Linked DNA regions of Saccharomyces cerevisiae S288C. Changing the gene in region 2 together with the main gene of any one other region gives a genetic interaction. Each region holds a gene or a part of one and is shown on either strand. Other genes may lie near its edges.

Region 1 (7,224 bases), on a different chromosome or scaffold from region 2:
TACTGACGAAGCTTCTGTAGCAACCAAAGTAGAAGTAACTGATGTATTTTTAGAGCTAAACAGTCTAGAACTTGCTAAGCTGGAAATTGCCGATGGAGCTTCCGAACTCACTAGGCTAGACGTTGCCGATGAAACTTCTGAACTCATTACGCTAGATTTTGTTGACGAAATTTCCGAACTCACTGAGCTAGACGTTGACGATGGAGCTTCTGAACTCACTGAGCTAGATGTTGACGATGGAGCTTCTGAACTCACTGAGCTAGATGTTGACGATGGAGCTTCTGAACTCACTACGCTAGACGTTGCCAATGGAGCTTCCGAACTTACTGAGCTAGATGTTGTTGACGAAATTTCGGAACTCACTGAGCTAGATGTTGACGATGGAGCTTCTGAACTCACTACGCTAGACGTTGCCAATGGAGCTTCTGAACTTACTGAGCTAGATGTTGTTGACGAAATTTCGGAACTCACTGAGCTAGATGTTGACGATGGAGCTTCTGAACTCACTACGCTAGACGTTGACGATGGAGCTTCTGAACTCACTACGCTAGACGTTGCCAATGGAGCTTCCGAGCTCACTGAGCTAGACGTTGCCCATGAAGCTTCTGAACTAATTACGCTAGACGTTGCCGATGGAGCTTCTGAACTTACTGGGCTGGAAGTGATGGATAAAATTGTAGAGGAAAATGGTAGGGTTTCAGAAATAGTAGAGCTTGCGGGGCTGGAAGTACTTGATAGTAGGGAAGAAACATCGGACGTGCTTGAACTAAAAACTTCCTTTGAGGCATCGGAAGTAGTACCAACTGAAGTGACAGCCGATCCTGAGGAACTTATCTTTGGAGAAGATGAAACGTCAGTAAGCGTGGTAAATGTGGAGGATGTGACTGCAGTTGTATCAGAAGATGAAGCAGTAGTTTCAAGGACAGAGGACTTTCCCAATGGCTCCGAAGAGGAACCACCTCCATTTGATGAACTGGTTTGCGGGGAAGATGTTTGAATAGCACTACTACTTATGGAGTCAGTCTCTGTAGTGGAGCTGGACAGTTGTGCATTTGTGGAGGAAAGCGCACTGTATGAGTTTGAGGGGCCAGAGGTTGATGATTCGACATCGTTGACTGATGTACTAGAAATATCGGATGATGTGTAAGAAAGAGAAGAAAAAATGGAAACCAATGACTCCGATGATAGAATTGAGGCAATTGTATCAGAGGAGAGCGACGAGCTAGAAGTAAACTCGGGTACAACAGAAGAAACTAATGTGCTAGAACTACTGACAATAATTTCTGGGCTAGTTGTAACTTTAGTGCTTGTCGTGCTTGTCGTGCTAGTGGTAGTAGGCGTAGTTGTACTGGTTGTGCTACTAGTAGTAGTCGTGCTACTATGCGATGTGGTAGTGGCTGTGGTCGATTTTGAACCAGATGAACCCATTTTGATACGGCGCTACCCTTTCTTGTGGATACCTTTTCTATGACAGAATCATTGACAAATCTGAGGGAACAAAATTACCACAGGTGTGAGTGAGACTTTATATAAAATTAATATTTCATTTTTAGCTTTGTTCCACTTGAGAGGAACATGGGCAAAGATAGAGACTAAGAAAACATGTTTTCAGAACTTTACTGTTGACTGCTGAACAGTCTTAGCAAGATGCTTATTTTTACGTGAGTTCTAAGTCGCCGTGGACTGACACCTTCGCTAAATTCACAGGCAATGATCGCAAACGAGCTTCATGAAAAAAAGTTTATTTTGGATCAGATCTGCGCATGGTCCAGAAAATTCGCCTTAACGAAAGGTACACAATTTTGCATTAAATGTCAAAAAAAATAGAATATGCGATACAATTATACCTGAGATGAATTTAGTAAAGTAGGTGCAAAAGATGGTATAATACTTGAGCTACATCTGGGAAACTAAAGCACATTTTACGTTCAAAGCGAATAGTAAATTAGAGAGAACAGTTGCGCGTGGAAGGCACGGGCACCGCTAAATCTAAAGAAATTACATACTATTTCATTCTTGCTGTCATTTTTTCCTCATTAATCACCACTTTTAAGCAGGATATAAGAATAAAAAACTCGATTTGAATAAAAACTATGCTTTCCTTGGTACATACGTCCTTTTGAGTACATAAGTAATGTCAACTGTGTAGGAAAGAGGTGACGTCCTAGGCTCGGCTGTGTGATATTACTTTTTAGAACCTTTTTGATAGAGGCTAAATGGTAAGGAAAGTTAATTTTATTCGAATTTTGGGCCACCTCTCTTAGAAAGGATTACTGCTAACTTCATAGTGTCAGATCACTCGTGTTTGTTCTGAATAATGAGGCAGGCGGTATACGAAAGAAGATATCCTGCTTATTTGGCTCCTATTGTTCAATTAATTAATCGATTGGCCAACGACTTTCCTATCGTATAGAAGAAACTGTTTGAAAAAAGATGGCTTATCCAGGAAGGCGCCTGAACAAGTTCTTGCTTCCCACAGTAAAGAAAAATCAAAATGGCCGCCATAGCGGTGCAGGAAGGTCTTGCCTATCGAGGATATTGTTTTTACTCCAAAAGGAAAGAGGAAAGTTAACAAAATCAACTTTTCAAACGGAGAGTATAACACCCGGAAGTTAAAAACTGTGAGGAAGATAAAAAGAAATCTTCACGAAGTTTTTTCCATTTTGGTGATCTAATGAAGTCAGCTATCACTTTTTTGCGCTACGGGCTTTATGTGACGCAATAGCCCGTGCCACTTTAAACTTTTTTGTGCCTTGGCACCTTTGGCAGTATACGAAGAAGATCAATTAAACAAGAACGACGAGATCTCGGACAAGATATGACAGGGTTTAAAGTTTCTTCTTTTTTTTATATTCTGGCATTGTCCCGCTTTTTCAACGCAGGAAGGGAACGAGCTTGTGATAAGTTAAAAATTACAGTTACACATCTATACTGGTTTATTATACGCAAACTTTTGTTACATGAGGTTCATGTTCATGTTAGTCGTGTTTGCAACGTTTCTTTTATTTTGTCTCCTTGCCTCTTTCGCAATTTTTTTACGTTGTCTCTTCATGTACTCTATGTAATGTATGAGCAGGCTCTGACACCCGAGTTCTTCCGTCAATGGTGGGATATTATTCAATCCAAATGATCCTTGATCTGTGGAATACTCGCCAAGAATTAAGTGGCCCTCTTGAGCGACCCACCTAAAAAGAGATGTTTCAAATTCTCTAGTATAATGAGCTGCCACGAACCTCTGAACTTTTTGATCCTTTTGGTCGATGGACATCTTATTTTTAGCGGCTCTAATGACATCTTCATCCAAACGATTCACTTCATAATCTGCTAACAGAATTAATTTATAATGATCGTTGGTAACTACGGGCGAATAAGTGACATGCCACCTGAGATTTAAATTATTCACTTTAGTGTCCAAATCCCTGTGTCCTTCTCGGTGAGCCATTGCTAGTAAGTTGGGCTCCGTAGACGTAGTCCCTACGAAGCTGTAAGTTACGTTTGCTTGGCTGACATTTTTATATATGTCGTAAAGAGGCACTTTATACAATATTAATCCGTTGTTTGAGCAAACGATTTTTGCCACAGTATAAGGCGGAGGTTCGTCTGCCGTTCTTAAAATAAATTTGAAAATTTTATAATATGGGACATTGCCGACCACAGTATTGCTATGACCTCTTTTACCAAACGGTAGAGTGCAATTGATAATTTGGAATAATGGAATACCAATTGCATCTGGACTCAGCTCATTCGAATACTTTTTAGTGTTTTCAAAATTTTCAAGCGATTGCTGAGACGGAAACATGAAAAACCCATCCTCGCCGTTTATCTCGGCTATGGGCATTCTTCTTTCCCTATTAAAATGAAAGCACTCTGGGACACTTTTGCTATCGGACATTTCAATCTTCAATCTCTGCTCATCTTTAAGCCCATCTGCTGCTTTCTTAAGAAGGTATCTACTTATTGAACCCATAATCAGATTTTTCTTGAAAAACTTTTAATGGAAGCTTAGCACCTGCTTCGGTCTTCTTTATCTTGGCGAACTTTGCCAAATCTGTAGTTGTTTCAAATACTGTCATGTTGGCAGTCTTCTTTTTATATGCGTTCACGCCGATGGCCAAGCCTACAACATTTTCTCAAAAAGGGACCATTGTCCCTTGCTGCGCCAAAAAAAAGAAATAGGCGCATACGTTCCGTCATCTATCGCTCACAAAAAGTGGAACCGGTAGGATTTTATCACTGACACATACCGTTGTACTAAGAGAGCAATTAAGTCGACAACGCAATTGATATGCGCTCTTCGTTATCGAACCCTAGCGGTGTATTTTTCGGACAAACTTACTGTTCATTATGGCCGAATGCTTACCTAAAACGACACTTCTGGTCGTTTTCAACTCTCATGCTCTAAGCAATTAGGCTTTTGGGGCGAAGCGGACAAGCTCTTAAGGCCGTGAATAAAGAAAGGGAGATGAAAGGACGCCGTAGCAGCTGCAATAGCTTTCTTTCGGTCATCAAAAATCCCAGTGAATTCTTGGGGGACACTTGTGGGGTTGCATTACTCGAAATGCTTCGGACGAGTACCTGATTCGTTAAACATATATATATCTCATGGTGAATTGGAAACGGTTGTAGATCTTATATAGGAAAAGTCATTCATAACTAGTTCCATGCCGACTAAGTATTTCGTCCAGGCTCGGCGTTCTTGTTGAACGAATTTTCCCATAATCATCCAGATTTCCAAGAACCTCGCCTTCGTAACATTTTGCAACAACAAGTGGATGGAGAATTTTGGCTATTTTTAGTTCAAGAAAACTTAGAAATTTTTCAACGGTTTTTTATCTCGTTAGTATTATCATTCCAAAAGTATACTTATGTGGGTACATAGTTATAAATATATGAGGGAATCTATCTATTAAGGTTAAAAAAGCGTTACATCGTAAAACGGTAATCATGGCTGCTCAATTTTAACGTAGTCACCATTCTTGGCAGAAGATTTTAAAAACGCGTCCACACAAGCCAAATGGTGAAATGCAGTTCTGGGTGTGCCTAGGTATAAGGATTTGTCCTTCTTGCTGACAGCTTCGTGAAAATTCAAAAATTCAGCGTTGACGCCGAAACTTTCATCATTATCGACTTTAAAAATTTGTTCGTCACCGTTATCTTCAGCTGAACCCCCTAATTTGACTTTTACAACGGGGTCTTTTTTGTCTGATAAGTCAACGGTAACGGTACCATTCTTACCATAGACTTTCAAGAAAACCGACTTTTCGGTAGCACCAAAGGCAGACCCATAAGTAAAACTTCCGATAACCTCTTTATTTTTCAACTGGACAGTAGCAAAGACAATATCATCTGCACCGGAACGTTCACGCACCTGTCTCGTTAATGCAGAAACAGATCCAAATTCACCGAGTAGGGAAATAACGAGAGCTAATTGGTGGACACCACCATCAGATAGAAATCCGCCAATGTGCTCTGGTTTTTGTCTCCAGGTTGTGGTCAAATATTTATTTTGAGTAACAAATGGACCGGTAGAATTGTGGGTGAATGCTACTACAGGACCAATTTTCTCGATCTGCTCCTTTGCGATTTTAATACATGGTAAATATAACCAATTTTCAGCCACACCAACGGGCAATGGGGTGGATTCTGCTATCTTGACAATCTCCTTTGCTTGGTCTAAGTTGGCCGCAATTGGTTTTTCCAAAATAACTGGCTTACCTGCTTTAACTGCCTTCTCGACAATATCAGCATTAAATTGAGCAGGTAGCAAAGCGTCAATGTAGTCGACATGAGGGTCATTCAAAATTTCATCTAGATTGTCGTAAACCTTATTTTCAGGTATGTCAGCAACCTTTGCAAAATCCAAAGCTTTTGCCTTATGTCTGTTGAAGGCGGCAATGACTTTGAATTTGTCAGGAAATTCCTGGTAGGATGGGAGATGTCTATCTCTGGCAAAAATACCTGTACCAACTATACCGACGTTCAATGGGGACATTTTTGGCTATTACTTTACTTTTTGGAACCAAGAAGTGATTATGGGTCTATTCGATGTACAGAAACAAATAGGTTTGAGCGAGTTCGAAAGTTTATCCAGAATAAGTAGTTCTTTTTATAGACGAACACCTATGTATTGTGATACATAATCATGCTGAATTTTCAACAGGGGATAACTCCGTTTATTCCCCGGCGGAGGGCGGAATTAAGCGGGGTTATTAGTTGATTTGGAAGCCACGTCTTTTTTAATTTTGAATGAGAAGTGAGACTACGTACTAAGTTAATCTATTATTATCTTTATATGTAAAAAAACCCCGACCGTGGTGAAAGGCTTCTTTGGTCTTGCTTTGACAATTGCTTAGTGGAAACGATACTTTGTGTCCAGACCTAGATGTATTTAGCAACAGCTTCTCCATCGTAAATTGTAAAAGGCGTATCCTTACCCACGATGGCGATTGAAAGATTGTCTACAGTCAAGGATTCGTCCCTTAGAGACTGGCTGATAGCCTCGACGCCAGCTTTGATTAGTTCATCCGGGTTCCCGTCAATTTTTATAAACGTGTCTAAAGTTCTCTCTAGATAAGTCTTTGCCCCTTGGCTTCTTGCGCCAATAGCTGTACCATATAGTTCTGTGACATTTCCGGAAGGTTGGAATTCTAAAAGATGAGCACCGCTCTTGTCATACCCGATGATCAACAAACCAACACCGTAGGGTCTGCCCCCATAGGATTGTGTATTTTTCTGTGCTTTATCGCAAAGCAAATGACCTGCTCTCTCGACGGCAAGCTTTCTGTTAAAAACTAAGCTGGAGTAATTACACTGTTGTCTCAAATAATTACTTAAAACTCTAGCATCTGGAGCCAACCCGGCTAACGAGAGCCCCATGTGCTCGTCACATTTGATGATTTTTTTCTGGTATGATGACAATTCGTCTGCATTTCTTTTCAACGCTACTAAAACAGCATGAGTGTTCGAACGTAACCCCACAGTGACGCTCCCTTGTTTAATAGCTTCCAAGGCGTATTCCACTTGGAACAGACGGCCTGTAGGAGAAAAAGTGACTGTGTCCCCGTCGTAATTGTTCCTGAACATGTTTTGTAAATATATGAAGGCTTAGTTCAATGTATTCTTACCCACTTCTCTTGAACTTCAATTGATCACCACGTCTACCTAAATGTAGTGGCGTCTTGGTTCTTTTCCATACTTTGACGATACTTTTGAATTTTTAATTTT
Region 2 (7,348 bases):
CGATATTTCTATGTTCGGGTTCAGCGTATTTTAAGTTTAATAACTCGAAAATTCTGCGTTCGTTAAAGCTTTCGAGAAGGATATTATTTCGAAATAAACCGTGTTGTGTAAGCTTGAAGCCTTTTTGCGCTGCCAATATTCTTATCCATCTATTGTACTCTTTAGATCCAGTATAGTGTATTCTTCCTGCTCCAAGCTCATCCCACTTGCAACAAAAAAAGTCTAATCTTCTGCAATAATTTCCATCCTTGGCATTCAGAGACATATATTGGTCAATCGGTTTTAATTTTGTTTCTTCTTCTTCTTCTTCTTCAATTAACAATGTGCCTTCATCATTTTTCATTTCTTTCAGTTCTTCTAATTCTCTTGGAGACAATTTGACTCCCATGAAAAATTTCTTGATTATCTCAGAAGAATACCACCTCTTTCTTTCTCCATACCCAACAATCTTCGCTGTACGAAATCTCTCCACTATTCTTTTTAAGAATAGCTTTTCCAAGTTTGGCGTTAGCTGTAAAAAACAATGGATATAGCCATCCTTGTACAACTTAATACAAAGCGTTTCCATGATTTTTGCCAACTCGGTCGTGTCATTACAAAACGGCTTGAAAAATAAAAGATCAATGTCACCACACTTGGAATAGCCCCTATTATAACTTCCCTGTAATTCGACTTGGCATTCAGGATCAATGCCACGCAGCGCTTTTTGAACCTTCTTTAAATGTGTGAAACATTCATTCCGAGACATCTTGCATAACCAATCGTCGTAATATGACCAACCAAATAAAATTGTCCAATCTGATACAAACTCCTCTGGGTCCTTCTTAGCTGCAACACAAAAGCTTTCAAAATTTAGAAGATTCCAGCGTTTAGCAATTTCCGACCCAATGCCGTAACAATTTTTGAAGTATTTCAACTTGTCTTCTAATCCCACTGAATCATTTAAACCTGGTAAAACTCCCGTATCTAATATAACTTGTATTTTTTTGGCAATACTAGGCCCGATATTCCTTAATTTAGTATGTGCTTCTTCACCGGAACGAACATTGAAATCGCAATTTTCCATCGACTGTTTAGCCAGTCTATAACTTCTTGCACGAAATTTCTCACCTTCGATCTCATATTTTTTTGTTAACCTTTTCAACGCTCCGATAATCAATTCATTGTTTTTGTACTTCGTTTTGTCAGTAACAAGGGAAGCTCTTCCTTTATCCCCCTGTAAGAGTCGCTTAAGAGGTTTTGAAGCTTGTATCATATCTTTATTGTTGCTGTCATCATTCCTTTCACTTTCTACGTCAGTTGAAATCTCACTCTCTTTATCAGTAGAACTTTGTCCGTCATCAGCGTTATCTGATATAACGATAATGGATGGTTGAAATTTAATCAAATCATCTTTTTGAAACGCAAATTTATCATTCTGGACCCACTTTGTGATGCAACTGGTTTTCACACATTGAATGCCTGACTGTTCAATCTTACCAAGAAATTCATCGACATCATTTAAGCCTGCTTCCCTTTGGAAAATATCTTTCTGAGTCAAATGCATATCAGAATCAACAAAGGAGTCCTCAATCAAAATGACCACTTCCTTACGGCTAGATTGAAGACAATTTTGAATACTTGACACAATTGTGGCGCCCTTTTTCTCCAATATACTCTTAAAGAACTTATTGGAAGATGTGTTAGGATTAGGTAAAAAGGCGAAAAATTTACCCTTTAGAGACATGTGCGATTTGTCTAACAGGTCGCATGTTTATCCTTTACTTATTATCACTGTGACATATAAGTTCTTTGCAAGCCCTTAAAATTATTAGCCCCATGTATTTGAACATCTCAAAGTAATTTTAGACCGAGACCGATTACGGAGATAGAAGAATAGTGCAAGTGAAATACTATTTTATCTTTACTTAAAAAAGAAAAAACAGGAGGAAAATTAGCGGTATTCCATTATTATTAGCACTGCAACGTCCTGGTTATATAAATTTGAATATACAGGATTTCATCCGTTTCTACATTTTTGTTACCTGCATGATCAAATCTTTTAAAGAGTCCCAGGATTTCACAAGGTAGGCACCTTTACCGCCTTCCTTTTCACAAAACTGTAACCACGCTGGACCATTATCAGCTTCAAAACTCGAGATTTTATCCTTTGGGATACCAATAATCTTTTCGGTAATTTTTATGAATTTGGAAGGATTTTCTTGCGGGTTTATTAGCAGTACACCATTAGTAGATGGATGTAATATGGACAACAAGTCAGTCTCACTATCCCCTATATACCAATAGCTGCAAGAATTTCCTTCTTTATTGCAACCTGAGTCGATCTTATCTAATATTTCACCCAGTATCTTGACCTTATCAGAGCCTGTCAATAACCGACAATCAAATTCACCATTGTAGCTTTGAGAACACTTGTCACTAACTTTTTTTAGATCGTTACAAAAAATATGACTATTTTTAAGTCTTCTGTCACCAATGACTTCATGAATAAACTCTTTTGACCAATTTATAGATAAAACGTAAAAATCACTTTCAAAATTTTTGACAACTGAAGAGCAAAACGTTTTGAAACCATCTCTTAGTAAACAATCTTCGTGATTCTGATCTCTGGCGAACGTTTTCATTTGATCCAAAGAAATCGACTTAAAAATCTGTTGTTTTGTAATTTCATTTACACTATTTAACTCAACAACCCTGTTATGATTTTGATATTTTAATTCGTCCGCAAACAACTTATTGAAGTTAGACTGCGAAATTATCGTAGGTACGCCTGAAGATAACAACGGCAGTGATCTCGTTCCATTGTATTTGTATTTATGGTATCCGTCCATATATGTCTTGGTAAAATGACCCCACTCAGGTTTCAACCGCGGGTTCAGTAGATACGGTAATTTAGCAATGGTGCAGATTGTGTCAACTCTTGTGATTGTTTCATCAAAATCTGAAATAATAATGGTTTTCATATCCTCCACTGTTCGCTTCTGGTTACTGCAATTGTTAAATGCATTGGCTCGATTGTCAACATTGCTTTGTGCGAAGAAAGGTCGCTTTTAAAGAAAACGATAAGAACTAACCTCTAACTACATAATAATAAGAAAAAAGTATACAGATAAACAAGCTCAGTAGTAATACATAAAATAAAAAGTTTTGCAAATCGATTGTCCACACACTTCTATATCAATTCCAACTAAGAAAACGAAGGAACCGACTCAAACCGGTGTAAAAGCTAGGCTTTCAATCTCTGCTCCTCCAAACAAAACTAGTGCTTGATATCACATCCAATTAAATTACGTAAATAATTTTAGAGTGACACCATCGTACAAAGAGGGCATTAAGCTTATTTTTTTAATTCTTATGAAAAAAAAAATGTGAAAGAGAGTAGAAAATTTTCATAACGAATCTCTTCTATTCTTATGTACCGTTCCGCCAAATTTTTCATGAAAAAATTTGGGAAAAAGAAAAAAAAAAAAAATAGTATATAAAGTAAAAAAGATGCGCAAGCCCGGAATCGAACCGGGGGCCCAACGATGGCAACGTTGGATTTTACCACTAAACCACTTGCGCTAGTAATCTTGATACATGATTCGAGAAAAGCAACAATATTATGTATACGGAATATACTAGGAGTTCTCTTCAAGGATAGAGGAATCCTCAAAATGGAATCCATATTTCTACATACTAATATTACGATTATCCCTTCTTCTATTTTATATGTTTCATTATCCTATTACATTATCAATCCTTGCACTTCAGCTTCCTCTAACTTCGATGACAGCTTCTCATAACTTATGTCATCATCTTAACACCGTATATGATAATATATTGATAATATAACTATTAGTTGATAGACGATAGTGGATTTCTATTCCAACAAGAACATCCTTGAAAGGTCGACTATTAACATAAGAATAAGAGAGAGTGTGTGGCCGATGCTGTTGCTATAGCTCGGTCGTAGTTTAACACCACGGCATTATTCAGCTTTAAAACAATTGAATTATAAACCTGCTTTTCTTACTACGAAAAGTGTTTCCCTTTAATAAATCTATTGTACATACTTTACAGTTGATAGTACCTTCACCATAAAAATATGCAAACGCTTTTGTTATTGGGAACAGGAATACCAACCGTTCTCATGGAAAATAGCAAAGTGTAAAAGAATTTATTATCATCGAGTGATAAAGAATATCGCCAGATCTTTACGGATATATATCGCTAAAAATATTTGTCGCCAATAAAAGATATGTCTAACGCTCCCTTTGCAGGTAGTTTTTTACTGGCATCGCCTTTTTACTGCAAATTATTGAAAATTTTCGAGCGAGAAAAAGGAACGAAAAGAGATGAGCTAAATTCAAATATCAAAGTACTGTCATAAGTGCTTTCTTTATCGACAAATTACAAGCAGAAGAAACATTCACTTCACAATTAAATGTCCGAAAATCACGTTCCTGCCTGGAAAAGAATTGCTTTGAAGAGACAGACTATAAGCAGTGGTGACGAAAGTAAAGAAAAAGGCCAATCCAATCTAATAGATGATGATCCACTAAATATCACTACGCATTTATCCACTGGTAATTTGACAAAGAAAGAGAAAAAAAGAATCATTAATGGTGAGAGCAAATCCTCTACCAAAAAAGGGAAGCGTGTGTCGAAACCAGGGACGAAGAAGAAGGAAAAATTGTCAAAGGATGAAAAGAATTCGAAAAAAAATAAAATTCTTAAAGATCAATTACGTTACCTGATAGAATTTTTCAGGACAAAGTCTGAGAGCAAGTTTCCCACCGGAATCCTAGAATTGGAAAGTGTAAAAGAAAATTACGGCGACTCCCTGATCAAAGACGAGCCATCAGAGTCTGGTGTTGTTGAAGTTTGGAAATTTTCCAAGCAAAAGCAAAATTGGCTTATTAAGCATTTTTTCAACTTGGACGAAATCCCCTCAGTATATAATGATCTTTTGCTTTTATATTTCAGGGACTTACAAGGTAAATCAAAAGAAGAACTAATATCAAAATGCAAAGGAAAACTGAAGCAATGGAACGACTATGTGGAAGATCAAGAAACAAAAATAAAAGCGTTAATTGCAGAGGATAAGGCTAGCGAACCAATTAATGGTGAAGAAAAAGAAGAAGGTGAAAAAGACGGTAATGCCGAACAAGGGAAGCAAAAAGAGGTACAAGACGAGCAAGAGGAAGTACAAATGCCGAATAAAGAGCTTGTTCAAAGAAGTCTGAAATTACTAGAAATTTGGAAGAATGATGACTCGGAGCAGATAGAACTTAAGAATTTCTTCGTTGATGTTTAACATAGAGTTCAACAACGTTGTTCAGTTGTAGTATATATTTTACTGTGAAATACGCTCAAAAAGTAGCGGGATAAATCGTTTCAGGAAGTATAATTTCTTACAAAACTATAACAAGATCGTCTAAGTAACATACATAAAGAAATCACATAAATTTTTAAAATTCGAGGTCAAAAAAATCAGGTGGATACATAACTTACCTTAAGTTATCAAGATTTTCAGTACACACAATGTGATTACACTGATTTATAAAACCACCTTACGGCCTCTTATAAGTAATAACGTGGCTCATCAAAAACATGGTAGAAGTGACCCCTCTCACCTTCGCCTAAAAACTTATCTGGAAATTTCATGTCCTCATATTCCGGTTCACTCATATGACCGTATTCATACATAGAATCCGAGTGCTCTACTAACGCTTGCTCACTCAAAACTTGGAACTTACCAACTTGTAGCTCCGTATCGGTTATCGTTCCTCTTGCAACTCTAGCATATCCTGTTCTTCTCAAGCCCCTATACAAGATATACTCACACCATCTATCATCGTCAGAAGGATCAATGTCGTGCATTCCGGATGTTTCACTAACGTACGTATTGTAGTTGCCTTCACCTGGATCAACAACTAAGTAACTTAATAAAATAGCTGGGCGAGTCGTATTGCCCATGAGCTTAGCCATGTAGTTACTTTGCAGTCTTCTATCCTCTTCATCCTCTTCTTGTCCACTATGGAATACAAAGACGTCAACGAGAGTGTCATTGTACGTTTGAAGTGTGGCATGAATGGCTGGCGCAAGTTCCCCAACTGGAGAGGGCAATAAATGATGCGTAGAATTTACGATAGGGAATTTAGAAAGAAGAACACAGCCCCAGGTATGTTTATTTGGACCTGGTCCGAAATCTGCATACATATTCAAATCATGAGCTAGTTTGCTAGTTAGATCCCTGTTCCCCATGGTAATTCTTTGTGTATCTGTTTCTAGTAGACCTACCACATCTAGTTCCATATCTTTAATAAGGTTGATCATTCTGTCTTCAGATGCCCACATATCATTATCGAGACCAAAGTGGATAGTCCAAATACCAGCTGTAATCAACTGAGAATCTGGATGATAAGGCTGAGGAATTCCTGTAGGTCTAATATCATACACGAACCTAGCTGTTAGTGATAGCAGGGCCACGGCAAAGAAGAAAACATAAATGAAGAATTTTTTGCCCATAGTCACCAGTTGAATGTTAAGGTTTTTGCATGTTAAAGCACCAATAATGATAAATGTGGAAGAAAAGGCAAGAACCGTCTCAATCTTCTCCCTCAGTACCCAGCCCATTGGAACAAATGCGTATGCAACGACCCAAACATGGGCAAGGACAAAGATAATATAAACGGAGAATGATAGGACATAAACCCATATGTTTTGAACTTGGCCTAATGCAGAAAAATACGAAGGAACTAACCAAAGCATAGCGATAGCGTACAATAAACCACCGAAAATATATTTAGGCCATTGTGTAATGCTTCTAGCTGAAAGTACAGCAGTGGATATGAGAAGCAACAAACATGGAACTAATGGCTTGCCCATAAACTTCACAGAACTCAAAGAAGCAAATAACATGACCGTACAAGTTAAGGCGCCCCAAGGCCATGGCAAGGGACCGTGTGATTCATTGTAACCTTCCCATGCCCAATAAATAGTAGTAGAAGAATCCGTCAATAACTGATGAATTCCGAATAACAACGAGCCAAAACCAACAGCCAAAAATAATTTGCCAATCAACGAAGCAGATTTTGCTTGAGCATTCCTTTTCCCTTCGAAATTAATTGAATTAACATAAGGCGACAGCATGCCGAATAAAACAGTAAGCACGAGAGCTGTCTTATTATACCCACCATTACGTTCATCTAAAATGACCCAAGTTGGATTGTTGGTATAGAACCCCATTTTCAAGATCACAGATGCAACAAGACCTAACAGCCAAGTTAGAGCAAAAGAGAAACTAGTCTCCGCATTTGTGATATATCTTAGATTTTGTACAAACGTTGCAACGGTAATGGAA
Region 3 (6,648 bases), on a different chromosome or scaffold from region 2:
GTCATTGCGAAACACTTCACATGTTTCATTAAAGCACGAAACGCGAAAAAAAAAAAAAAATAAAAAAAACAAAAATAAAAACAAAAACAAAATGTGTTGAAAGTTAATATACCAATTGATAAATTGAAGCAAGGCCTGGGATGTTAATTGGAAGAAATTTTATCGTAAAAGAATATACAAGTTAAAAAATATAAACCCAAGGTACGTATACTTGGAATATTACACATTCATTATATACATATATATATATATATATATATATAATTAAAAAAACCGTCGATAGAAATTGAACCTTTAAAATAATAGAAAAAAAGAATACAAGATAAATAAAACCTCAAAAAAGTGAAAAAGAGCTAGAAAACCATGCAGTTCTTCAAGAAAAAGAAAAAAAGAAAGGAAAAGTGACACTTGTGGGTTAAGTTTGACGAATACCACTATGAAATCAGATACTACGGTGTAGAAACTCGAAAAAAAAAAAAAGGTAGTGCCTCTAAGGCCTGCTAGCTTTTGTAATTAATGTTCTTAAATCTCACTTGTTCTTGTTGAGATCTTTCATTATCATTAGATTGATCCAAGTTGAAACTGAAGTCATTATTGGTGGTTGGCGCCATTAATACACCCGGAGCTGCACCTACCGAAAAGTTGCTGTTATTATTGTTGGTATTGCTGGAACTACTACTTCCTAATCTAGAATGAGGAAGTGTGGTGTAATTGTAGTTTATGATTGGTTGGTTGGACGGATTCGAACTGTTCACAGAATTGTTAAAATTATTTTGGATAAATTGTGATTGCAACGTACCCATGTCTTTTTGCGTCGGCGAAATCATACTATGTGAGCCCGGATTGCTGTTACTACTGCTGTCAATGTTACCTTCAGGGTTGCCGTTATTTTCAGAATCATTAGCAATAGCATTATTTGCATTTGTATTTGGATTCAAAATTGTGCTCGCAGGATGGTTTTCTGGTGAGGAAATTGTTGATTTTTTGGTTCCTACACCTTTTCCTCTACCTTTAATTCCCCTGTTTGAATTTTTATAAATGGACGCAAAGTACTCCAAAAGTTGCCGCTCTTCAAGTGGAATATTCTCAGATGGATTCATCTCAGCTAATTTTGCCGTTAAGGCATTTAATGTTTCCTTATGAAATCTATTTTGATGGGCCTTCATATTTCCTAGTTGAGTGAAGGTCTTGTTGCAGTTTTCAAGCTTGCAAACAAATGGTTTCAATTTTTGGTGAGTAACCAAGTGAGCAGCTAAGTTCCCTTTCCTAGAAAATTTTTTATCACAAATATCACATGAATACGGTTTTTCACCTGTGTGTAGTCGTTCATGAGTTCTTAAGTTCCCACCCTGAGTAAAACGTTTGCCACAATAATCACAAACGAATGGTTTGTACCCTATATGAGAACGAACGTGAACCTCCAGATGAGTCGCTTGCGAAAAAAGCCGATGACAATAGGGACATTCATGTTTTTTAACTGCTCGTGTATTTTGTGTGCCTTTTGGTTTCTCCACACCACCTACTAGTTCGCTTTTAGGTGGTAAAATGTCCATCGTTTGGTTAAACAGTAAGTCTCCATCTTGAGTGGTATTTACTTTCTCCGTGAAACCTTTCTTTCTTGCTTGAATAATCAACATTAGTTGGTCGACCTTTGTTGCACCTATCAGGTTAGTAGCATCATCACTTACTGAACTTATGTCAGGTATAGGAGGTTCTTTACCAGAAAAGTTTGCCATTGCTGCTCCTTCAGCAGAAGTAGAATTGTCTTTACTCATCGGGGGATCAGTACGGGGCATCTCATTCTTGACGTACACAGTAGAATCATCCTTTTTCCTTTTCTTGATAATATTAGGTTGCATACCAGACTCGTCTATATGTTTGTTCAATCCCTCACTGCCTTCAATTACGTCGTTTTTATCCAATGGTCTTGATATAGCACTAGAGTAATTATCCTCATCATTCAAATGTTTTCGAAGTCTTTGTTCTATTTCTTTTAGATCTTTCCTACTATTGCTTGTGGTATCGGTAGAAGCAAGGCTATGGTCCTCTTGGTTTGGGATATTAGTACTGGTGGCGGAATTAATACTATTGTCGTTATTATCATTATTGTTGTCATTGTTGTTTTCATTGTTGTTGTTGTTGTTGTTGTTGTTATTGTTATTGCTACTGTCATTGCCATCATCATTGTCAACTTCATTACTTTTTCCTTTCATGTTATTGGTAACATTATCCGCGACAGGATCACCATTAGCTTTGTTGTTAACGGATAGTGAGTTTAATCTTGATTCAGGTATAAACGCATTTTGGCTGCTATGGTCCAAAGTACCTCTAACAAAAGAATTCCGCCTTTTGAATTGAAAATCGAAATCTTCAGGATTAAACTTCAAAGAATTATTTCTTGAACTCAAAAAGTACGGGTTCTGATTAGAATTACTGTTGTTTGTACCAGTATTAAAAAATGATTCATAATCTGCATTTGTGTTCATATTCCCACTATTATTGGTGCCATTGGACTGGCTTTTAGTAGTTGCTGCAGGTATTAACAGTGGAGGTCTCATAGAGTTTGATTCTCTTCTACTGCTAGGCTGGAACTGCGGTTGCTGTGACTGCTGCATACTGAAAAATTCAAAATCAGGCCCATCATTAGGTCCAAGATAAACAGAGTTTCTTTTTGAAGGTGGCTGCGAAGTATTATCATTTCTTGGTAAAAATTGATATTGAGAAGAACTTCCCGTTAATCCCGTCGAAAATGAAGGGGTCTTGAAGGGAGGCTGCTGGTGCGACTGCTGTTGTTGTTGTTGCTGCTGTTGCCGATGCTGATTTTGAAGCTGCTGTTGTTGTGGGAAGAGGTTGTTTACAATGGAAAAGCCGCGTCCGATTTGCGACAGGTCTGGCGGTTGATGTGTACTTGAAGTGGATAATCGTGGAAGATTGGAATAGGCGCCGCCAGAACTAGGTCCTCCTGTACTTGTTACTGGTACGTTATCAGATATGTTCAAGAATGAGTTGATAGAGGCGTCCGTGGAATATCGTGGCTGGTTGAAATTTGTATAATATGAAATCGACTCATTCCTTTGTTGTTGATGTTGCGGTTGAGAAGAAGCCGGTTGACTTTGATTAAGAATAGGAGTAGGGCCTTGCCCATGCTCCTGGTTTTGCTCCCCAGCTTCGCCTGATGATTGATTTTGGCTTTCATTTTGTCCCGCCTGCGTAGGGCCCATGAACTGTGCAGTTGGAGGAGGCATGGCTGGTAATTTTTCAATATCTGAATCTTTTGAAGTATATCGCTTGTGTAGCTGTTTTTGTCCCAATTAATTTCTCTGTGGGACCATCTATAGTACTACAAGGTTCCCTTTTCTGATGACTCTTCTTGCTTATGCTTCATTTCTACTGGAATTAAAGGGACCCTTCTTTTCCTCCACTTCTCAAAGAAGCGAAATCGCGGGGCACGGGCGTAATGTTTCTAAATAACGATTAACACTGAATATATCCTTCTACAATACGTAGGGCTATATAAGTCTTGGGATCACCAATTCGTATCCCAGGAGTCTGAATCCCCATCATCATCCCAGCCGTCAACATTTCCTTTCTTGGTTACCGAGCCGCGGATACTACTTATAGGCTTACTTCTTGCAGTTTTATTGGACAGTGACGATTTGGTGGTAACAGTAGAGTTACTAGCAATGTTTCTTGGTGCTAGGATCGTTGTTTTCTTCTTCTTGATAGAAAGCCTTGAGCTAGGAGCGATGGATTTTGCCAACGTTGAATTTTGTGGCCTTGTGTGTTTTTGAGGCACCTTTGATGGGCCGCTTTCATCTTGAATCCAGCCATCATCATTCAACTCATCATTCCAACTTTTATTAATTTTAATAGGTTTTCCGAATAATTTTGGGGTGCTTGCGGTTGTTACAGGGTTTGTTGTTTCATCGAAGGATTCTGTGGTACCATTTGTAATAAAGCCATCGGTATCGCTGAGGTCGTCCCATCCACTTCCATCCTGGGCGGAATCAATTTCGCTCTCGGTAATGTTACTTGGTGTTGTTGCTGAGGGAGAATTTAAACGTAAATTATTTAAAAATTGTGCGGCTAACAAATTGTCTTCTTTATTCATATCCTCTTCATCACAACCGTAATTCTCAAAATCAATATCTTTCACATCTTCCGAATCTGCAGTACTATCGTTTGTTTGAATAAGTTGGGCTTCTTTTTCCAATTTTTCCAGATATTCTTCGAACAGGATTTTGGCTCTGCCTCTTACTATGGGACTTTTATCTAATAAACCAGGGGCAATGACTGTTAAAATTTTGTTGGCGATTGTGTTCACATCAAACAGCTCAATCGACTTCTCAAGCCCATAAAGAGCAGCCAATCTTGGTTTTACTTGAGGATCTTTCAAAGATTTTGTGAACGCCGTAGCTAAAATATTCGAGCGATTACCAACTGACGTTGATAATATGGTTGAGATTTTACTTATTATGATGACTGTCCATGTTCGGATTTCAACGTCAGAATCAACCTGTGTTTTTGCGAGAAACCTCAGTAGCTCATTATTCAGTTGTCTCTCTGTTAAACATGACACAATGCATGGAATTGTCTTCAGTGTTTGTAATCTAAGAGTGGCATCAGAGTCGGTCAGACCTTGGATAAAATGTGGATATATCCTACTGGAGATCTCTGATTTGCTCAATGGACCTATTAATTTGGGTAGGTATATTAGTAAAAGAAATCTTACTTGCCTATCTGGCAGTTTAAAACTTTGGGTGATAAGGTCGTTGAAACCAACTGGAAAGGTGTTCGTTTCAGAAGTTAGGTCTAAAACAATCGCTAAGAATGGTACTAGTTTATGTGATGCGTTGAAGTTCATGCCTATAGGGCTGGCAGCACTACTGATGCTTTGTGTCATTAATAATTTTATAATTTCACAAAGCTCTGGAATAATAAAATTTTCTATCATTCCAGGCGTTAAATTACGGAAAATCTCTCTTGACTCTAAATACAAATTTTCCAAGTTTGACATCACAACCAATTTTCCCTGTGGGTCCTTTATATGCAACTCCCTCAATTCTTGATAAAAGTTTATCAAAGGATTAGAACGCCAAGTTTCTGTATTTTCTAGCCTTTTTCTGAAGTTTTCGATTGTTATCTTTCCATCTGAAATCATATTTACATTGACAATCCAATCTTTGGGCAGACAAGAAGGAGCCATAAGGCTCTTTATCAACAATCCTAACCCCATTGAATCAATTGTATTCGGATCTTCACAGGGCAACTGTGAGCCAATTATGTTGTAATATGACCTCGCTCTACTGGCAAATTCAAACGCACTTAATCCTTCTTTGCTTGAACAAAGTTCTAGCCCAAATAGTACCCACTCTCCCTTAATATTGATAAAAACAGAATCTTTAGAAAGCGTACCAAGGACAAAGTTTTTTAAAAATCCTAAAGTTGCCAATAATTGTGATATTCCTAATTCAACACCAAATTTGTTTTGAGATAAAGAGCCTAGATTATCCCAAGGAAATGGAACTACTCGTTCGGTAACAATAAATGTGGATTGGGGGTCGGAATCAAATGTCTCCAGCACCGTACAAAGTCCTGGAATCTTCAAAATTTTGCTCTTGTGTACAGCATTTAAAATTAAAGATTCATTTTCTGGAGATCTTTTTGCCTTAAAAACTGTTACTGGCAAGGAATCTGCCTTCCTTGTACCATCGAAACATTGCCAAAGGGCGGTTTCAGTGATTGCAGTTTCCTCTATGGTGTATGGGAACTGGAAATTCGAAATAGATTTGAAAATGCTGGAAAAATTCATCACTTACAGATACTTGTTCACCAATAAAAGCAACGATAGTAACAGTGTCAAACTCTCGACTAAATAACTTGACGATATTATTGTTTTTAAGATACTTATATTTAATATAATCATAATATAAACAGACAAAGAGAAAGGGCCTTTTTGAAGGTGAAAAAAATAGAAGATGTGCGCGAAAGCGTGAAATTCAAAATGCGTATTGCTTTAAACTTTCTTTACCATCAATCGAAAAACTGTCTCGTAGAATGTTAATAGCCGTGTTATTTAGCGCATGTATCTATTCACCAATGTGGCCTTTAATATCCGTTCCACTCATTCTTCTGGTGTTGCAAAGATTAACATAGTTAACTGAGCAACACCAAAGAAAACCTAAACGAAGGTTATATGGAATTAGCCTCAGCATAGAGTCCTTTGAACGTTTTATTGAGCGGTAAACCAACTACGTTATAGTAATCACCTTCAATTTTTTCAATTAGAATAGCACCTTGCCCTTGTATTTTAAATCCACCGCCAACCTCCAGCCCATCTCCGCTTTCTACATATTCTTCCAATATTCTCAAAGGTATTTTGTTATCAAAGTATACCTTGGTTTCATCTCGGAATGGTACCAATTCAAAGTTTTCTCTGCCGTACCATTTAATTAAAGTCACAGCGGTGACAACGTTAACTGGTTCATCATCTTCATAGCAAAACTTCATTAAAAACTTCTTTTGGACCTCTTTTGTTTTAGGCTTCTCGTAGATTCTCCCACTCTTATCTATAATAATTGTGTCTGCACATATGATAAGCTTAGGTTTATCAATTTCATTTGGGTTTTCATCTTCGTAATCTGTCAA
Region 4 (8,258 bases), on a different chromosome or scaffold from region 2:
AGAGACTTGTATCCAATTCTAAGAACATGCTACCGCGAGAAAACTCGCCGGCAATTATTGACATACCATCATGAAAGAATATTTGACGATATACCATCTTTTTTCCCCCAGCGTGACTTTATTTTCAATTACTACTCGATGCCTCTTGAATTCGACAGGTTGTCAGACGTAGATATAGATTCGTCATCGCGGTCACGATTTACAGATGAGAGCACTGGAGAAACATTAAACCGTTCACCAAGCGCAGCGTCTTCGTCGTTGGAAAACACATCTTGGTTTGGCTGGACTTTACTTTCTAGGTTTTTGGACAGAGAATGGTAGAAGAAAGTTAGATACCCTCATTCTAAAACGTTGTCCGAACACCATCAGTTAGTTTTTTCTTGGTTTCATTTTTTCATTTTTTTCTAAGATGTATATATATCCGTGCACATATATGCTACATTATATTATACAAGGTCGGATGGCGAGTTATTATTAAATTATTATAGTTAATCACTTCATTAGTTTTTCTCCCCCATAGCTTCTTTGTGTGTGCTCTCCAGATAATTAACATGATTGGTCAAATACTCACACATTGCATCCCATTCTGGGGTATTAACTTTATCGGTAAAATACTTGAATTTAATAACTTGGCTTTTCGGAGTGGTACAGAAGGACCCCCTCATATCATTGAATAAAAACAATTCAAAATCCATTCCATAGCGATGCGGCTTCCTGAAGCCCCGTACTTGTTCGCCATTTGGACCGATAAATCTGTTTTCATGATAAAGAGTCCATGGATCTGCCTTGTAGAAACTGGCATGAATGAACATGATATCCAAATCAGAACCGTCATCATTAACCATCAAAGTTTTCAAGAAACCATTGTCCAAAGTATAATCTGGATCCAGTTTGGAAAATTCCTCAATGTTGGCTTTAACTTTCTGCTGCGCCTTTTGGTATTGCTTGTAATCTTGTTCAAAATCATGCTGGAGCAAGGCGAGACCCTTGTAATCATCTTTTTGATAGAAGAAACCATCAAATTCAAAGTTAGTCCTCACTTGATAGTATGGCATATTCAAGGCATGGGCAGCAGCGACGAAAGTGTCTTTGTCACCTTCACCGGCAGTGCCTTGAGAAATCATCTTATAATACCAGGTAGGCCCATAAACATTATAGTATAGCGCCAGTAATAGAGTGTTGAAATGGCGAATCTTATCAATCACCATCTGGCCTGATTCAGAGCTCAAGTCTGGCATCGTGCCGTCCAGATCATGTAAGGGAACATGTTTCAGGAAATGCTCCTGTCTCTCCTTTGGAGTGTAATCGTTTGAGTTACTAACAAATGGATCATAACGTGACACGGGGGAAATATCGTCACTAACAAAACGGACTCTTTTGCCGATGTTAATGCTAGATCCTATAATGTTGTAAAAGGCGGGAGGGGTGACACGTCTCCAAAAATCGGGCCACAATATCAGGCCAGTATCGTTGAAGGATGTAGTGTTAAAAGCAAGGTCAAGGTTTTTCACCGCATAGTTATCTGCGTCCAAGAAGATAATACGCTTGAAACTGGAAATTATCAACCCAAAGACTTTCAACTGGAAGTGCGTGAGTTTTAAATCGCTTAATGGCTTTGAAGGAACGATATCTGAGAAATAAATGCACTTACCATTGAATTTCGGCAACCAGTTCTTACAAAAATCATCCTCGCCTTCGTCCTGAGGCGGAATGATGACTTCAATAGGCAATGTAGTACCCGTGTCCCTCAACTTTTTGATCATCGTATACGCGAGCACAGAATACTTTCCACCTCCAATGGTGACAATGCCCTCAGAACCTGAGAAAAGTGCCTCTCTTTGTGGGATGGAAAAATTCAGTTTCCCTGATAAGGTGTCTGTAAACTTACTGTGCACTTCTCGTAGGCTTTCTTGTACTGTTTTATTCAAATTATAGCATTTACTCAAGCTCTCGTAACTTAAGTCACTATCGTGTCCAGAGTCGTGTGCAGCAACGTTATTTGCAAAGCTACACCCTTCCGCCCCATGCAACTTACTCAAGTCCGGAGACGAATCTGCCGGCTTGTTTTCCACGATGGCTTGTACCAGTGTTGTGTAAAAATTGTTTTTAAGGTTCGACCTTGTTAGAACCGGCAATCTAAGCTTTTTACCGTATAACCAACTAGAAGACACATCATTATGCACAGAACAAAAAAATAAAATTAGCACTACTGCGCTCACGATGACCTGCAGGATTTTTCTCTTCTTTAACCTAATCAGCATTGTAACCTGAACTATTAGTATATCCTCTTGTTGTGCTAGGAACCAGTCGTAAAATAAAAATTTCCAATAACCGTGAAAATGCTTTTTTCATATCTGCGTATATATAAAACACTTTAAAGCCGTGTTGATCCTTTAGTTGTTACACTTTTTTTTCCCCGCCGATGAGAAAGTGAAAAAAAAAATCCGCAAGAACGGGGAAAAAGATAAAAGAAGGCACTTATCTCTCTGAACTCTGCACCGAAACATGCATCTGTCGTCTATTCCGACTTGGCAACCAAAAGAAGCCCAAGAGCTAGTTGCACTTAAATCAGTAGAATCGTGAGATTGTTTATTATCTTACTTCTGTTAGAGTGCTTCGCTTTCCATGCATCAAACTATGGATTTGTGCTGATCTTGCAACCATCGTCCTCTAAGGAAAGAAATGTGGCACCTTTAAATAGGTTCCACCTCACAGATGCCAACATGTGGGAGATAGGGGGCTATTCGCAATTTATTAACGTCTCTAGTACTGGTAAGCCTTTCTAACATTCTTGTGGTCACGTGATGTGTATGTTTCTTTTTTTTATTCCTCCGGGTGATAACGACGCGAAAAATATTTTTTCATTTTTCTTTTAACCATCACAATTTGCGACGCGACGCGAAAAAAATGCAGAGAAGTAAAAGAATGCTGGATAAGAAATCAACAACACAGTTGAACATTGGCGTGCCCCTGTGTATTAAGTAAAGGTTGTCCAAGAGGCTCTTTTTTGTATGTATGCGTGTGTTAACTATCCTGCACATCATCTTGCGCAGTTAGTCCAATAAAAAAAGGATTACTACTGAACAGGTCTTACTATTTTTGATTGCGTAGTGCTGGGGAAAAGTAAACACACACAGGCGCACACGAGAACAGATGAGTTCTTTGGACGAGGATGAAGAGGACTTCGAAATGCTGGACACGGAGAACCTCCAGTTTATGGGGAAGAAGATGTTTGGCAAACAGGCCGGCGAAGACGAGAGTGATGATTTTGCTATAGGGGGTAGCACCCCGACCAATAAACTGAAATTTTATCCATATTCGAACAACAAATTGACAAGAAGTACGGGGACCTTGAACCTGTCATTAAGTAATACAGCTTTGTCAGAGGCTAACTCCAAATTTCTTGGGAAAATTGAAGAAGAGGAAGAAGAGGAGGAAGAAGGCAAGGATGAGGAAAGCGTGGATTCTCGTATTAAAAGGTGGTCTCCGTTCCATGAAAATGAAAGTGTTACTACTCCTATTACAAAAAGATCTGCGGAAAAAACGAACAGTCCTATTTCTCTCAAACAATGGAACCAGCGATGGTTTCCGAAAAATGATGCTCGCACTGAAAATACATCCTCATCCTCTTCATATAGCGTCGCTAAACCTAACCAATCAGCCTTTACGTCTTCGGGCCTCGTATCTAAAATGTCTATGGACACTTCGTTATACCCTGCGAAATTGAGGATACCAGAAACACCAGTGAAAAAATCACCCTTAGTGGAGGGAAGAGACCATAAGCATGTCCACCTTTCGAGTTCGAAAAATGCATCGTCTTCTCTAAGTGTTTCCCCTTTAAATTTTGTTGAAGACAATAATTTACAAGAAGACCTTTTATTTTCAGATTCTCCGTCTTCGAAAGCTTTACCTTCCATCCATGTACCAACCATAGACTCATCCCCACTGAGCGAGGCAAAATATCATGCACATGATCGTCACAATAACCAGACAAACATCCTGTCTCCCACTAATAGCTTGGTTACCAACAGCTCTCCACAAACATTGCATTCTAACAAGTTCAAAAAAATCAAAAGAGCAAGGAATTCGGTTATTTTGAAAAATAGAGAGCTAACAAACAGTTTACAACAATTCAAAGATGATTTATACGGCACGGACGAGAATTTCCCACCTCCAATCATAATATCAAGTCATCATTCAACTAGAAAGAACCCTCAACCTTATCAATTTCGTGGACGCTATGACAATGACACTGACGAAGAGATCTCCACTCCAACAAGACGAAAATCTATTATTGGGGCAACATCTCAAACACATAGAGAAAGCAGACCATTGTCACTCTCCTCTGCCATCGTGACAAACACAACAAGTGCAGAGACGCATTCCATATCTTCCACCGATTCTTCGCCGTTAAATTCCAAAAGGCGTCTAATCTCTTCAAATAAGTTATCAGCAAATCCAGATTCCCATCTTTTCGAAAAATTTACGAATGTGCATTCCATTGGTAAAGGCCAGTTTTCCACGGTCTACCAGGTTACGTTTGCCCAAACAAACAAAAAGTATGCAATCAAAGCCATTAAACCAAACAAATATAATTCCTTGAAACGCATATTACTGGAAATTAAAATACTAAACGAGGTAACAAACCAAATTACAATGGATCAAGAAGGGAAGGAATACATCATCGATTACATCAGTTCCTGGAAGTTTCAAAATTCATACTATATTATGACAGAATTGTGCGAAAATGGTAATTTGGATGGATTTTTACAAGAGCAAGTTATCGCAAAGAAAAAAAGGTTGGAAGATTGGAGAATTTGGAAAATCATCGTGGAATTAAGCCTGGCTTTACGATTCATCCATGATTCTTGTCACATTGTGCATCTGGACTTGAAACCCGCAAACGTCATGATCACATTTGAAGGTAACCTAAAACTAGGTGACTTTGGAATGGCTACTCATTTACCGTTGGAGGATAAAAGTTTTGAAAATGAAGGTGACAGAGAATATATTGCACCAGAAATCATTTCTGATTGTACGTACGATTACAAGGCAGATATTTTTTCCCTGGGTCTGATGATTGTTGAAATTGCAGCGAACGTTGTGTTACCTGACAATGGCAACGCATGGCATAAGTTGAGATCGGGTGATTTATCGGATGCAGGAAGATTAAGTTCCACAGATATTCATTCTGAATCATTATTTTCAGACATTACGAAAGTAGATACAAATGATTTATTTGATTTTGAAAGAGACAATATCAGTGGTAATAGTAACAACGCTGGCACCTCCACTGTTCATAACAATAGTAATATCAACAACCCTAATATGAATAATGGCAACGATAATAATAATGTCAATACTGCCGCTACCAAGAATCGTCTTATTTTGCATAAAAGTTCTAAAATTCCCGCATGGGTACCGAAATTTCTTATTGATGGTGAATCACTTGAGAGAATAGTACGATGGATGATAGAGCCCAATTATGAGAGAAGGCCCACGGCAAATCAAATCTTACAAACTGAGGAATGCCTGTATGTAGAAATGACACGCAATGCAGGTGCTATTATCCAGGAAGACGACTTTGGACCTAAGCCAAAATTTTTTATATGATAAATGGAACAAAAAACCTTGTTTTATTTACATACTTTTTTCCCACACGTGCTTATGGGCCGCATTGTATAAATAATCCAATAACGAAAAAGAGTGTAATTGCAGTCCGGTAGTAATACCATGTAAAACCTTAGATGAGTTTATTTTAAGTACAGCCGCTTCAAGCATTTTTATTTTTATTTTACAGATGTAGCAGATAACAACCGTTAAATTATATTATATATATATATATATATATATCAAATACGACGTATTACATATATATTGAGAATAAGGGAAGGATGGAAGACAAATGACAAAAAGTTTGAAGCATAAATATGTTCTTCGCTTAGATGTTCATCTTGGTTCTTCTCCAGTTTCTTCTCTTAGCGTTGTAACGGATAGTGTTGTTGGTTCTCAATCTGATCCATTGTGGCAATGGTCTGTTTTGCTTCTTAGCCTTAGCCATTTTTTGCTTGATTCTGAAAGACTTTTGAGCCTAATTAAAAGGGAAACATATCGTGCACATACGAAGTGTACAATTGTAAAAAATGTTAGTAACAATGTTCAAACTCATCAATGTGATGCATTCACGGATCCAAGGCAATACCACCTGACATAAACCACGCTGGACCACCAAAAGTTCTCAGAATAAGCAGTTTATGACCATATTTTAATCTGCGTAGTGGCGACTTTAGATTTCTGTTTCGGATAAGAAAAATTTTAGTATGGTTAACACTCCTAATCCTTTCCCTATATTTTACACATTGCTTCTATTTCAAATCCAAATTGTAGGTGGTAAGGTCATTTAGATGGATGTGGTTTATAATTTGCTATTGATCAGTTCAGCATCTAACTGGGATTTATAATATCTTTCTAACATACAGCCATGTTGATCTATCTGTGTTTATTTGCTTGTCTTTTTCGAATTTTCAGTATAATATGAATGTACCAAAAATTGTAGAAAGTATATTAAGTAGAAGTTTTAAAGTATCTATCAAGGCGAAGAATAATTCTCGGTTCTCGACAGCCCAAAAGCCGAATTGCGTTAGTTAGCCCACGCGCGAGCGTAAACGCAAGGACCATTGAGCTTGGAACAGAAGGAGTCGCTTCGGCGTCCCCGCCAAGGCGTACTGTTTGCCTCGGCCTGCCGCGTGGTGGTGGTAGTTTGAGCCGGAGCCTAAAACGCCCATAAGTTTTTTGAAAATCAAGCTAAAAAATGAAAAAAAAAAAAAGTTAAATTGGTACTGTGCGCCCATACATCACATACTTAAAAGTGTGTAATTCCTCTATACATCCACACCTCACTATTTGAAAAACTCAAATATTGAGGACGCGCGATTACCAGCGGCATGTTTACTCGCTGGAAGATGTGAAATAATTCTTGAATATGGGTTTGCAGTTAGTCAATTTCAATCTAAATAATCTTAATCGACTATTCAATTCTTAAATTGTAAGGTTTTTTAATGGCCTTTCAGTTCTAGTATTTTTTATAAAACAAGACCAACATACATATCCAAGATGACCAGATCTTCCGTTTTAGCTGATGCTTTGAATGCCATTAACAACGCTGAAAAGACCGGTAAGCGTCAAGTTTTAATCAGACCATCCTCCAAGGTCATTATCAAGTTTTTGCAAGTTATGCAAAAGCACGGTTACATTGGTGAATTTGAATACATCGATGACCACAGATCTGGTAAGATTGTTGTTCAATTGAACGGTAGATTGAACAAGTGTGGTGTTATTTCCCCAAGATTCAACGTTAAGATTGGTGACATTGAAAAATGGACTGCCAACTTGTTGCCAGCCAGACAATTCGGTTACGTCATCTTGACCACCTCTGCTGGTATCATGGACCATGAAGAAGCCAGAAGAAAGCACGTTTCTGGTAAGATTTTGGGTTTCGTTTACTAAGCTACTTGTTACAACAACCTTTTCGGTAGCTTTATATACTATAATAAACACAAGATAGCCTCATAACTTTACTCATTTCTTATTATACATTTTTTTAGTTTTCCTGTTAAATACTAATATATTTGTACTTTAAAACTGTTCAAAAGATTAGACAGAAATGAATTTATCTGCCGCATTTCTGCATGCACGAAGTCGAATATGCAAATGTTTATATTGGCTTTATTAATTAAACAAACTATATTTATGTGAGAAGGTAAAGCCGTATTTCCATGCGTTAATAGAGTAAAAAAAAAAGAAATCATAATCTTCTACCTCTTCTACCACCCTTCTTTCTGGTGGAGTCTGATGGGACTGGAGTAACGTCTTCGATACGGCCAATCCTCAAACCAGATCTGGCCAAAGCTCTCAAAGCGGCTTGACCACCTGGTCCTGGGGTCTTGGTTCTGGTACCACCAGTAGCTCTGATCTTAACGTGAACGGCAGTGATACCGACTTCCTTACACTTAGCGGCAACATCTTGGGCAGCCAACATAGCAGCGTATGGAGATGATTCGTCTCTGTCGGCCTTGACTTTCATACCACCAGTAACTCTGGCGATAGTTTCCTTACCAGATAAATCGGTAACATGTACAAAGGTATCGTTAAAGGAGGCGTAGATTCTGGCAACACCAAAGACTTGAGAGTTATCGCGAGCTTGAACAAGGTCTATACATGATAAGAGGTATAGTTGTTAGTAAACAGAACTTCTGCTT

What was found.
Region 1: mutations in RBP95 (region 2) and DIA1 together harm fitness more than expected from each alone (negative genetic interaction), as found in Saccharomyces cerevisiae (2 studies listed by BioGRID).
Region 3: mutations in RBP95 (region 2) and AZF1 together harm fitness more than expected from each alone (negative genetic interaction), as found in Saccharomyces cerevisiae (2 studies listed by BioGRID).
Region 4: mutations in RBP95 (region 2) and MNN5 together harm fitness more than expected from each alone (negative genetic interaction), as found in Saccharomyces cerevisiae (2 studies listed by BioGRID).

What each region holds. Positions count from the first base shown.
Region 1 is NC_001145.3:901,568-908,791, reverse strand, and holds DIA1 (Dia1p), read right to left. Parts: upstream 3,968-7,224; coding exon 2,957-3,967; downstream 1-2,956. Other genes in the region: YMR317W (uncharacterized protein), read right to left, coding at 1-1,428; YMR316C-A (uncharacterized protein), read left to right, coding at 2,819-3,130; YMR315W-A (uncharacterized protein), read right to left, coding at 4,399-4,506; YMR315W (uncharacterized protein), read right to left, coding at 4,943-5,992; PRE5 (proteasome core particle subunit alpha 6), read right to left, coding at 6,379-7,083. UniProt on the Saccharomyces cerevisiae protein: Involved in regulation of invasive growth.
Region 2 is NC_001135.5:139,208-146,555, forward strand, and holds RBP95 (RNA-binding ribosome assembly factor RBP95), read left to right. Parts: upstream 1-4,426; coding exon 4,427-5,299; downstream 5,300-7,348. Other genes in the region: POL4 (DNA-directed DNA polymerase IV), read right to left, coding at 1-1,726; CTO1 (Cto1p), read right to left, coding at 2,010-2,963; CWH43 (Cwh43p), read right to left, coding at 5,566-7,348.
Region 3 is NC_001147.6:530,672-537,319, reverse strand, and holds AZF1 (Azf1p), read right to left. Parts: upstream 3,246-6,648; coding exon 501-3,245; downstream 1-500. Other genes in the region: COPI-interacting protein CEX1, read right to left, coding at 3,527-5,812; YOR111W (nucleotide diphosphatase), read right to left, coding at 6,193-6,648. UniProt on the Saccharomyces cerevisiae protein: Transcription factor involved in the diauxic shift. In the presence of glucose, activates carbon and energy metabolism genes, and in te presence of glycerol-lactate, activates genes needed for cell wall maintenance.
Region 4 is NC_001142.9:74,158-82,415, reverse strand, and holds MNN5 (alpha-1,2-mannosyltransferase MNN5), read right to left. Parts: upstream 2,262-8,258; coding exon 501-2,261; downstream 1-500. Other genes in the region: ATG36 (Atg36p), read left to right, coding at 1-321; tyrosine protein kinase SWE1, read left to right, coding at 3,154-5,613; 60S ribosomal protein eL39 RPL39, read right to left, coding at 5,942-6,091, 6,478-6,483; 40S ribosomal protein uS8 RPS22A, read left to right, coding at 7,114-7,506; 40S ribosomal protein uS11 RPS14B, read right to left, coding at 7,805-8,211. UniProt on the Saccharomyces cerevisiae protein: Responsible for addition of first and second mannose residues to the outer chain of core N-linked polysaccharides and to O-linked mannotriose. Implicated in late Golgi modifications.